Cricetulus griseus: one gene and its partners. The protein of the gene in region 3 interacts with the protein of the main gene of each other region in a pairwise test. Links are inferred from orthologs where the notes say so. Each region holds a gene or a part of one and is shown on either strand. Other genes may lie near its edges.

Region 1 (3,821 bases), on a different chromosome or scaffold from region 3:
TGTGGCAGGAATTGGTTCTTTTCACTGACTTCTGCTCCCTCCTTCCTCCGTGCTCCCCTGTCTTCCCCTCACCCCCCCCCCAATTCATCTTCTGTAAAACCTTTGCTGCCAGCCCTCTATAAAATACAGATTCCTCAGCCTGGTTTTCCAGTCGCACCTCTGCAGTCTGACCCGAACCCGCCTGCCCACACTTACACATCTAAGTCATGGTGAGGATGCCAGATAGCTTGCTGGAGAGGTGTGCCCCTGCTTCCTTGGACAAGCTTTCCAGCAGAGTACTTTATTCTAGCTTCCTGCCTTCTCTGGGCTTGGGCTGTTTTATTTGGATTTTACTTAATGAAAAATTCCTCATTTTTCTAAGCTCGACTCAAAATCTCTGCATTCTGAATTTTCCTGCACCCATAATTATCCCTACACGGAACACCATTCATGTTGCTTTCCGTTATTCGAAAATAACGGGGTAGAAGTTCACTGAGGTCAGGCACCAGAAGTCTGGCACTTAGTCCTGTGCCTGGCACACAGTAGGTGTTCAAGAAATGTGCAGTCATCCTTGGGTCGACCATAGTACGTGAGATGCTTGTTGCTTTCCCAGCGGCCAATGAAGTCTTCTGATGCGACCATCAACAGGTTGTGTCGGCTGCCCAAGCTGCCCCTCTTGATCTCGCCTCTGCCAGAATCTTTTTTTCGCACATGTTCTTGCCCAGTCCAGAAGAGAGGACCTGGGCCTCTCATTGCACTTGCTGGATCCAAATGTCATTTGGTTACAGATGCACGTGTTTTCCTCCAGCTTTCCTCGGACCCACCCAAGCAGGCGAGAGGGCGGCGCCCTCCCCCCTTCACTAGGGACCGACAACAGCTTTTTCCCTCTACAAGTTGCAAGCCGCTGAAAGCTCCCAGCCTCCTTCTGAGCCGGCTTTCTGGAAACTCCGCAATAATTCAGTCCATTTCCAAGTAGACAAAAGTCACTTCGGAGCCCTGTCCTCCCACCTAGTGGAGAACCCAGGGACTCCCTGGCGCTTCTGGGGCCTGCCTTAGGAACCGAATCCTCACCCGACACAGCGCTCCAATTACGCTTCTGGCGAAGGTCAGAAATGCGCTCGGCCCCTTATAGTGTTTCCAAGGGAAGGTTTGTACATTAGTGACCGTCCCTGGCAGCTACCCAGCCTGAGACTTGGAGCTCCACTTGTCATTGGTCAATGGTTGGAGTGACGCGAGAGGGGCGGGGCCTCATCAGCTGTTTGCGGGATGCCCGGAGCGGGCGTATTTTGGAAACAATACCGCGAGGTGCGCCGTGGCCTCCTCCCGCGCCAGCTCGCGCCCGCAGCAGCCACTGCCCCAGCTCGCGCCACCGCCTCCTGCCGCAGCCCGGTGAGCGCCCGGGCGGCCGGGGGCCAGGCGGAGTTGGATCGTGCCTCCTCCGGGAAGTGGGGAGCGGAGTCGCGCGGCGCGTGGGGGCCCGGGAAGGGTTTGGATTGCGGACATCTGGGGTGACCATGAAGAATTGGGGTGCCGGGATGTGGGAGCGGGGTGCAAAGCACAAATTTGGGCGTGCTGTTCCAAGCGGGGCTTTAGGGAAACATTTGGAACTTGGAGTTGAGAGTAGGTGGGCAAGTGACCCTGGGGTGCACTGCCAAGCGCTCGGAACGTTCTGGCCTCCGGGTCTGACTCTGGGGTGGGGCCGTGAGTTGTGGTGCATTTTGCCTCCCTGCGAACTCTGAAGGGTCCTCTTCTTAACAGCTGGAGTTTGCCCCCTCCTTCCCAATCGAGTGTGGGCGCCAAGCCCCCCGAGTGCTCATCACCCTGGACCCTGGCGCAGAGCCCTGGCATCACGACTCGGAGGCTGAGACTCTGTCCTGGAGTCACCCAGGTGTGTCTGCGCTCGTGTGTGCGCGCGTGTGTTTTGAGATCTTAGCCACTATCGATCTTCAAGGTGTCTAGCTAGTGCCATCTCCCAAGAAGAGGAGGAGTTTTAATTGAGCATCCCAGTTGGAGCTCTGAGGCTCTGGGATGGCTCCAGCGGACTTTAATCCCTTTGCTAGGAATAAAGCGTTCTCTGCTGTGCTCTCAGGAAGTGCCCTCTTCTTACCAGTCTGGACATTACCACTTTAGCTCAGGGAAGCTGAAGGTCTCTACTTTTCCCCATTTTACGTTTGTCTTTGCCCAGAACCTCTTGGAGGCGGAGGCTCACACCAACCGGAGAGCCACCTGCAGTTCGTGTGCAGAGTGGGAGGGGGTCTCGGCGTTTTCAGAGTCACACCCTCTGGCTGCACCTCCCCCACTGTCCAGTCTAGGCAAGGGTTGAACTTTGGGGCTTTGCTGGGAGGGGGAGGGGAGTGATAGGCATCAAAAGAAACACCAAGACAATGACTCCTACTTGTGATTGGCTCTGGAGGTCCCTACTTTGGTTGGGATTACCAGCCTGCAGAGAAGGGGATGAAGGACAGGAGAACTGCTTGGTGACAGCTCTTGGTCCTTTTATCTGGGAACTTGATTTTTCTGTTGCTGATAAGCTGGAGTTCCCCCTTACCAATTGGAACAATATCCAAAGATATGTGCTTTGCCATCCTAGCAGGCATGTATGGCATCAATCTCCAGGGAAGAAAGCAGAGACGAGGCCACAGATAGCTCAGGGATGTGATGAGGTGGAGTGCCGGATGAGGCAAGAAACTCAGAGCTCACATTTGGGGAGGGAAGGTCTCCGAACTTAACTAAGATTTCTTTAAAGACAAAGCTTTTCTTTTAAAAGGCTTCTTTAAGAACCCACAAACCACTTGGCTTGTCTTTCAAAGGCAAGACCCTAGTGGGTCAGAAGAGTCTGAAGATTACCAAATTTGTTTTTGCATTGCCTTGACCATTCAGGCGCTTGCCTATGATTCTGGTTGCCCCCGGGGCATGCTTGGAAGCTCAAGCTGCTGGGTGACTCCAAGTGCAGAATTTCATGAGCCGTCAGGTGGAGCGAGAGGAACTTAACACTAAGAAACAGCCCCCGCGGTGTAGGCAGTGAGAGAGAGCACAGCAAGAGGGCTGAATTTCACTTCCTTCTATGAGGCACGTTGCACCTATCTCAGGTTCAGCTCTGGCAAGAGTGGGAGGCTTCGTGGATGAAAATTTGAAGTCATGGAGATTAGTGGGTAGAATTAGCAGGACACTTTGCTAGAGGCTGATTCAGCCTTCAAAATTAACCTGTGCTGGGCAGACAGCTCTGTTCCAGTGGAAGAGAGCTGAGCCAGGCAGCTGGAGTGACTAACTTAGGTCCCCTGTTCCAGGACACTCACCACACCACAGAGCCTGTTTGTTGTGTTGTGCAAGGAGGGGGGTGGAGATGTGCAGTAGGGCAGGGCTTAGCAGGTTAGGAGGGAACCTGGCTGCTCTACAATTTCTGGCTTTTGTTTTTGCTGCTGAGCCTGGAGTTCAGCTCAGACTTAGGGGAAAGCTTGGAGGTCCCTCCTCAGTGTGTGTGTGTGTGTGTGTGTGTGTGTGTGGTTAGTCTTGCTTATCTTTTCCCAGGTACCCTGTGATAGCACCTGATCTTAACCCTTGCTTACATACCTCAGTGCCCAAGCTTTGTGACCAGCCTAGGCTAGAGAGTATGGGGAAAGGTGGCTCTGGTGGGTGCAGGGAGGAGGTATGGAGGAACCTGACCATTGGGGTGGTCCATACTTTATGGGTGAATGTCATCCTTGGCAGTGTTTAATTACCAGAGTTGTGTATCATCAGAAGCTGGCTTGGTTCCCACAAATAAGAAGAATGGGAAAGGAAGGAGGGAGGGAATTCTTCGTCTGGCCTCAGTAGGACAAGCATCCCAGATGCCTCCATTGTTT
Region 2 (3,547 bases), on a different chromosome or scaffold from region 3:
GGTACTGGGAGTCTTGGAAGGTAACCCCTCCAACAATGAGGGGACTACCGCTTAGCATGTCAGATAGCAATCAATATTAAAGACAAAAAATGGGAAGGACTCGTTTCTTATCTATCTATCTATCTATCTATCTATCTATCTATCTATCTATCTATCTATCTACCTACCTACCTATCTATAAAGAGAAAGGACGATCAGGGAAGTCCTCACCAGGACAGTGTTATTTCAGTCTAAACATGAAGAGGAAAGGGCGAGACAAAAGCAAATGCAAAGGTACAGATGAAAGAACATTTCAAGCCTTAGGGGAAAATCAGTAAGAGTGAGTTCTGTGAGTGAGTTCACGAGAGCGCTGGGTTCAAGAACTGGAGTAGGGGAGGGGTTCCGGGGAGAGAAACACGCCACCCTCGCGGAGACTAAGTTGGGAAGGTGTGTGTCCAACGAGGATCCAATGCTTTCAAGGGCGTTCAGTTTGATGTTTATTACCAAATATGATGGTGTACGCCCGCGTCGGTACTAAGGATGCTATAGGTAGGAGGATCGGAGCTTAAGACCAGCCTGGGCGACACAGTCTCTAAAACAAAACAAAACGAGAGGGAGAGCTCGATAAAATTAAAACGAAGAAAAAAAAAAAAAACCAAAACCACACACACCAAAAAAATCAAAACAAAAACAAAACCCCAAACAAACCGGCCGCAGTCAACACCTTTCCACGCCCTAAACTGCTACCAGGGCCCGGAACTCCGGGGCGGAGGCCGAGCCGGAAGTAGCCTCACGAGGGGCGGCACTTTGCGGGCTGCATTTCCGTTAGCGGCGGCGGGAATCGCGCTGCTGGCTGGCGACTAGGCCTCTGTGGAAGCGAATCCGGCGGGCATCTGAGACATCGGAGCCGCCACCATGGTAAGAAGGCGCGGGCTGGCCGCGGGGCGCTCAGGGGTGCGGAGTGGGGCGGTGGCTGGCGGCGGCCGTGGGTTGAAGCCGCCCGTGGCCGACAAGGTCGGGGTCGAAGCCGCTTAATCCGGGCGCCAAAGGCCTGGACTTGCGGAGCGGCTGGGCCCGGGTGGAGGGGAAGGCTGCACCGGGGACCGAGGCCGCCGTGCGTGGCCCGGCGCCTCTGCGGTTACAGTTCCGCGGCCTCGGTAGCTGGAAACGTGTGCCGGGTCGCTGTGTGCCCGGGCTCCCGGAGCGGACGCGAGCCTCCGGCCGACCGGGGGACACCGGGCCGGACGGAGGAGAGGCGGAGGGAGCGGGAGGGTGGAGGAGAGTGTTTGCATGCAGAGCGCGACCCTGCTACGCGTATTTTTATGTTGGGGTATGTCAGGCGCTGGGGCTGCACCCTGAAATAAGTTGTGCGTTGGTTCAGTTTCTGGCTCTGTGCAGGGCTAATGTGATTCTCTATGGCAGTTCGGCTTTAGGCAAAAAAGTAACGGCAGGGGGAGGGGCGGGACGGGTCCAGAGCAGACGCCCAAGTGATTGTTTAGGAGCGCCCCGCTCCCCTGTACGAGGGAGGGTTAGAAATCTGGAGAACCGAGAGGGCCCAGTAGAAGGCAACGAATTGTCAGGAACCTGGTTGCTGAAGTCCCTGCATCTTGTTTTCCCTCTTGGTAGTAAGACATCGCTGGAAGAGTTTTCACAGGCTTCATGGACTTAGGTTTAGAAAGGTCAGCCGGGAAAAGTGGCCAGTGCTCGAAATTTGTAATTTCTGTGCATAGTAGGCAGAGGAGCTTGAATTTTGAAGCCAGTTTTGGCTACAGAGCAAATGTAACAAATGCCTCGAATGTCTCCAAAAATATTAGTCTAGTTAAGTAGCTGAAGAAACCCGAGGTAGCGAAAATAGGTTATTGTTTTTGAGAGTTGACTGAGACAAGTCCTTACTTAACCTTCAGCTTGGGTCGTCTATTTGGTCAGTAAAAAGGAATGACAGTGGACCCAGTTTTGAGGATTAAAGGAGATAAATCCTTTTCAAGGGCCTAGCCATACATAGCTATTAAATATTAGCTATTGGACCGATATACGCCGATCCTAGTAACAGAGCTCTTTGAGATGATTATTTAAGCAGAAAAAAATACAAAATCTGGTTTTCAGGTTAGGGCTGGGTAATGCTCACAGGGGTGAACAGCGTTCCTGGTACAGAGAAGACAACTTGGGTAGTTAAAAGTGACATAATGCCAGTTATAGTTGTGGGTAACTGATACGTTTCTGAGAGAGACTACCACAGATACCTCTGTTCACCTAGGGGTGTGTATAAGCGCCTTTATTTTTGCAAAGTTACATTGGGAACCAGGATAGAGAATGTTGTTTGCCTTAATTAAAAATTAGACTATTATATTATATATATATATTAGACTATTAAGTATCCAAACTAATTAGCACTCTGGCCCAGAAAAGTTGCCCAAGTTACCCTACTCCTGTTCTTGCTTCAGAGCTGGTTTCACTTTCTGGTAATAAGCTTTTCCTTAATTAAGTGAATCCACTTAGTGCCTGTTGAATTCCAGTTCTTAGTTTAGATGGATTTAGTTGTTCGTAGAACTGAGTCTATATAGTGGTGGATGGCTTAATGCCCACTAGGTCTAGTATGGGTGGATTTGATTAGTTTGTGAACACTTTAACTCTCCTGAGACAGATACAACATAGACAAAGTTGTAGTCCCAGGGAGATTGCCTGTTTTAAGGGCAGGGAAAATAGCACATTAATGGGCAGAAATCAAGGCTAAAGCTGGTTGATAAGAGTCTCAGAAAAGGACCTTGTTTGGAAGATGTCAGGAAATTGTTGAGAAGGTTGGGAATAGAAAAGTAGGCTGTGGTGGAAGATGGGGGCGGGGAGCAGAAGTGTGTGAGCGAGTCCTCCCTGCTCCCTCTTTGCAGACTGTGGGTAAGAGCAGAAGTGTGTGAGTGAGTCCTCCCTGCTCCCTCCTTGCAGACTGTGGGTAAGAGCAGAAGTGTGTGAGTGAGTCCTCACTGCTCCCTGCTCTCTCCTTGCAGACTGTGGGTAAGAGCAGCAAGATGCTGCAGCACATTGACTACAGGATGAGGTGCATCCTGCAAGATGGCCGGATCTTCATCGGGACCTTCAAAGCTTTTGACAAGCATATGAATTTGATCCTCTGTGACTGTGATGAATTCAGGAAGATCAAGTAAGGAGAGGGCTGTTGGGAGGGAGAAGGAACTGGGATGGACTGGATGGATGGGCGGGCCAAGAGTGGGATGGCCATTCAGCTAGGTGCTCTTGTTTGCTCACTTGCTTTTGAAGGGAGAAACTTAAAGGGGAATGTTAGCTGCTAAGGAATCTCTTCCTTAATCCAGAAAACCTTGCTCTCCAATTCTAGCAAAGTAGAAGTTGGTGAGGAGGGCTGCTAGGCTTTTAATTTTTCTGAGTTTGCATGCCCCTGGGTACTGGGGTAAAGGGCTCTCATGTTCTCCCCACAGGTGTGTGAGGGGGGAGAGCTTGATTTTCTGGCCTCATTACCTATTTGTAAAGCTGTAGCCTAAAGGGCTCTCCTATTGCAGCCTGGTCTGAAACTGCTTTAAGAAGCCTCTGACCCTCTTCAGGG
Region 3 (3,469 bases):
GCAGCATATGGACGCCTTCTATTGGGTGATGGACTGGGAAGGGATGATCTCTGTCTCAAGCCTGGTGGGGCTGCTGGAGAAGCATTTCTTCCCCAAGTGGCTTCAGGTGTGCTGTGTGGCCCAGGAGGGCAGGGTGGGGTGAGAGCCCAGGGGTCCTCAGTGCGCATTGCTGTCAAGGCATGGTATTGTCTCACCTCAGCTCCTCACCGAACCTGTCTGGGGATGTAGAGATTTAGGTCCAGCACATGTAGGCCACAGGCTGGCTCTAGATTCTAATAATTGCTAGATGCTGCAACTCCACGAGCCCTGTGATGTGGGCTGCTAGGAGGAGCAGCGCTGCAGACAGCAAGTAGCCCCTGGGGACACTGCTCCCGCTGCTGTGGTCCAGCCTCCTGTCCAGTGTGTGGCCACTGGCTCAGTGTCTGGTGTCCTTTGGCAGGTGCTATGCTCCTGGCTCAGTAACAGCCCCAATTACGAGGAGATCACCAAGTGGTACCTGGGCTGGAAATCCATGTTCTCAGACCAGGTGTTGGCACATCCCTCCGTCAAGGACAAGTTCAACGAAGCACTTGACATCATGAACAGGGCTGTGTCCTCCAATGTGGGTGAGTAGGGTTCCTGTTGGGGGTGTGTTCGGGCCTTGGTTCCTAAACATGACATTGACTCCCACTGCTTTTGGTCTTCTGTGAGGCCACTCTACCAGTCACTTTACTCCTGGGACAGTGTCCAGTGGACTGCTACTTACAGCTCCCACCCTGTTGTCCTGTGACAGAGGCTGACAAGAGTGGGTCTGACTCCAGGCAGGTTTCCCACACTGCTCTGCATAGACAGAACTTGGCAGTTGCTCCTTTCTGAGCAATGCTCTGTGCCTACTTCATGGGCTACAAGATGGCTGAGCTCATGTCTGTGGCACTTGGCAGCTGGGTCCTTAAAGGCATGGATATTAGGATTCACCAGACCAGTATTAAGTGGAGTTTATTAGTAAATAACTTAAAACACGGAAAACAGTAAGTAACTGCTGTAGCGTTTCTGCTCCCTGATGCTCTGGTGACCCAAAGGGGCTTCTGACCCCAAACCTGTATGGCCACGCCTAAAAGGTGTGGTCAGTGTTGCAGGTGTGGAGGCAGATCTATCACTACAGGTCCTTGTGTATCACTGCTTGCTGTTGGGGGCCCAGGATTGCTGTATTACAGCACAGTCACATTGCTACGTGGCTCACGTAATACACACAAGTGCAGTGCCAGGGGAGGCCAGAAGAGGCTATCAGATCCCATGGTCTGGAGTTAGATAGTTGTGGGTATCTGAAGTGGGTGCTGGCAATCAAGCTGGATTTTCTGCAAGCACAATACATACTCCTTATCAATGAGCCAAATCTCCAACCCCCGATTTCCATTCTTTGAGGGCAGGAGCCACTGTGGACAAGGGGAAAGTAGAGGCAGCAAAGGCCATGATAGACTATGAGGTGACCTTGTGGGTGGTGATTTCGGGAGGCCACCTCTGGGCCCAGCCCTTGTCCACATCTCATCCGATACTAACAGATTCGCTTCTGGCATTTGATATTAGCTGCAAGTTCATGTACCAATTTTGTGATATGTCTCTCTTCAATTATGCAGTGACCATGTATTAGTGCCTGGGTCCTTAAACAGAGGACACACCATGCCATCATAATGCATGTTGGGTTCTGTACATTTGGGGTCACCTCTCCTCACTGTCCTCCCTCTCTCAGGTGCCTACATGCAGCCAGGTGCACGAGAGAATATTGCCTACCTCACCCACACGGAGCGCAGGAAGGACTTCCAGTATGAGGCCATGCAGGAACGCCGTGAGGCTGAGAATATGGCTCAGAGGGGCATCGGTGTGGCTGCCAGCTCTGTGCCTATGAACTTCAAGGACCTCATTGAGACCAAGGCAGAAGAGCACAACATTGTGTTCATGCCTGTCATTGGCAAGCGGCATGAGGGCAAACAGCTCTACACCTTTGGCCGGATTGTCATCTACATCGACCGGGGTGTGGTATTTGTGCAGGGTGAGAAGACTTGGGTGCCCACCTCCCTGCAGAGCCTCATAGACATGGCCAAGTAGACATCAGGGCCCTGCACCAGTCAGGTGTGAATAAACAGCACTTTAAACTGACTTTACAAACAATGTCTCTATTTGGGAGACCAGGCCACCAGAGCAGAATGTGATGTGATACCAGCAGCCTGGGCTGTATTTCTTGCCTGGCAAAGGAGATGGCATGGTCTGCAGCATGGCTCCTGGCCCAGGTGGCAGATACTGTCCTGCTATGCCAGCTGAGCTCAGCCTGTCTGTTTCCTGATGATCTCCAGGTCCTCGCAGTCCTGGTAGTCAGGTTCTTCCTGAGATGCCCACAGGTTCCTGGGAAGTCCCTCCAGCTTCAGCAGAGGGAACCAGTGGACAGAAGTGTCATTAAAGGTGTCCATGTAGCGTGGAGTCTGCGGCAGTGGGAACTCCTCCAGGCTCTTCACAATCTGAGCAGAGGGTCCAGACATAGGCATTAGGCACAACCCTGCTCTCCTGGTGTACCTTCCCTTCACTGGCAACCCCACTGTCCTTTTGAAAAATAAATGGGGATTTGTCTATCAATGCTTTTCAGTCCTGATGGTAGTGGGAATGCTGGACTCACCCTGAGAATGAAGGGAATTGGGCACTTACGGGTTCCAGGGAAGGGCCCCTGCCAGTACATTATGCTTTGTATGCTTAGAAACATCAGTGGGTAGTGGGGCACACATCCCCCCACCCCATCCCCCGCCACTCTCACTATTCTGTGAGATACCTTTGCAATGTAGGGATAATTTTTCTGCAGAATCCTTGCCAACAACCTAGAAATAAATGTATTTATACACAATCAGCGAGGATATGTGGATGGTTTTTTTTTTTTTAATAATGGATAGAAAAATAAGATGAGTTCAGAAAGGGTTGGGGGCTGTGGAATGTGATGCCCCAGCAAGCATCTGTAGGGAAGAGCATCTGTGGGGTGGCACAGGCAGGCACTTCAAAAGTACATTAAGAGTGTGGTCTTCACACATAAAGCATGGCTACTCACACATGCTTTTCCCCCAGAAGAGGCGATTATTTGTAGGTTCCTTGAGTGCTTTAAGCTGGACTCGGGGGTTGATGCCTGCCTTAAACCTTTCCACCCAGTCCCTTATGGGGATGGAAAGCCCTTCTGCCCGTAGGTGGGCCTGGTGGTCACAATAGCTCACCTTTCCTCGATGCACTGGAAACTGTTCCCAATGATGACCACCCTGGAAAGGGCGTCTATGGACCAGTTGCTCCACAGCAGATTGTTGTATAGAGCTGTGCCACAATGTGGCATGTAGAAGATGGTGGGTTGGCCTTGGGTGCTGCGCTTGCCTTCCTGTGGAAGCCATAGCAGAATGGGTGCTAGGGAGCTGAGTGCAAAGCCTAACTCTTCTGTGGCATGGCTACATCAGTGATGTAGATGTAA

What was found.
Region 1: the proteins of Tfip11 (region 3) and Bmf interact in binary tests that used the Homo sapiens proteins (3 or more experiments, as listed by UniProt). The two-hybrid records come from large-scale screens. The link is inferred for Cricetulus griseus from reciprocal best matches to the Homo sapiens genes TFIP11 and BMF.
Region 2: the proteins of Tfip11 (region 3) and Snrpb interact in binary tests that used the Homo sapiens proteins (3 or more experiments, as listed by UniProt). The link is inferred for Cricetulus griseus from reciprocal best matches to the Homo sapiens genes TFIP11 and SNRPB.

The regions. Positions count from the first base shown.
Region 1 is NC_048599.1:59,933,567-59,937,387, forward strand, and holds the start of Bmf (bcl-2-modifying factor), read left to right. Parts: upstream 1-1,245; coding exon 1,246-1,368; intron 1,369-1,737; coding exon 1,738-1,867; intron 1,868-3,821. UniProt on the Homo sapiens protein: May play a role in apoptosis. Isoform 1 seems to be the main initiator.
Region 2 is NC_048599.1:48,440,064-48,443,610, forward strand, and holds the start of Snrpb (small nuclear ribonucleoprotein-associated proteins B and B'), read left to right. Parts: upstream 1-747; 5' UTR 748-894; coding exon 895-897; intron 898-2,978; coding exon 2,979-3,130; intron 3,131-3,547. UniProt on the Homo sapiens protein: Plays a role in pre-mRNA splicing as a core component of the spliceosomal U1, U2, U4 and U5 small nuclear ribonucleoproteins (snRNPs), the building blocks of the spliceosome.
Region 3 is NC_048597.1:92,011,036-92,014,504, forward strand, and holds the end of Tfip11 (tuftelin-interacting protein 11), read left to right. Parts: coding exon 1-106; intron 107-439; coding exon 440-605; intron 606-957; exon of another isoform or gene 958-1,726; coding exon 1,727-2,082; 3' UTR 2,083-2,150; coding exon of another isoform or gene 2,151-2,201; 3' UTR 2,202-2,202; coding exon of another isoform or gene 2,203-2,298; 3' UTR 2,299-2,300; coding exon of another isoform or gene 2,301-2,489; 3' UTR 2,490-2,794; coding exon of another isoform or gene 2,795-2,840; 3' UTR 2,841-2,869; downstream 2,870-3,469. UniProt on the Homo sapiens protein: Involved in pre-mRNA splicing, specifically in spliceosome disassembly during late-stage splicing events. Intron turnover seems to proceed through reactions in two lariat-intron associated complexes termed Intron Large (IL) and Intron Small (IS).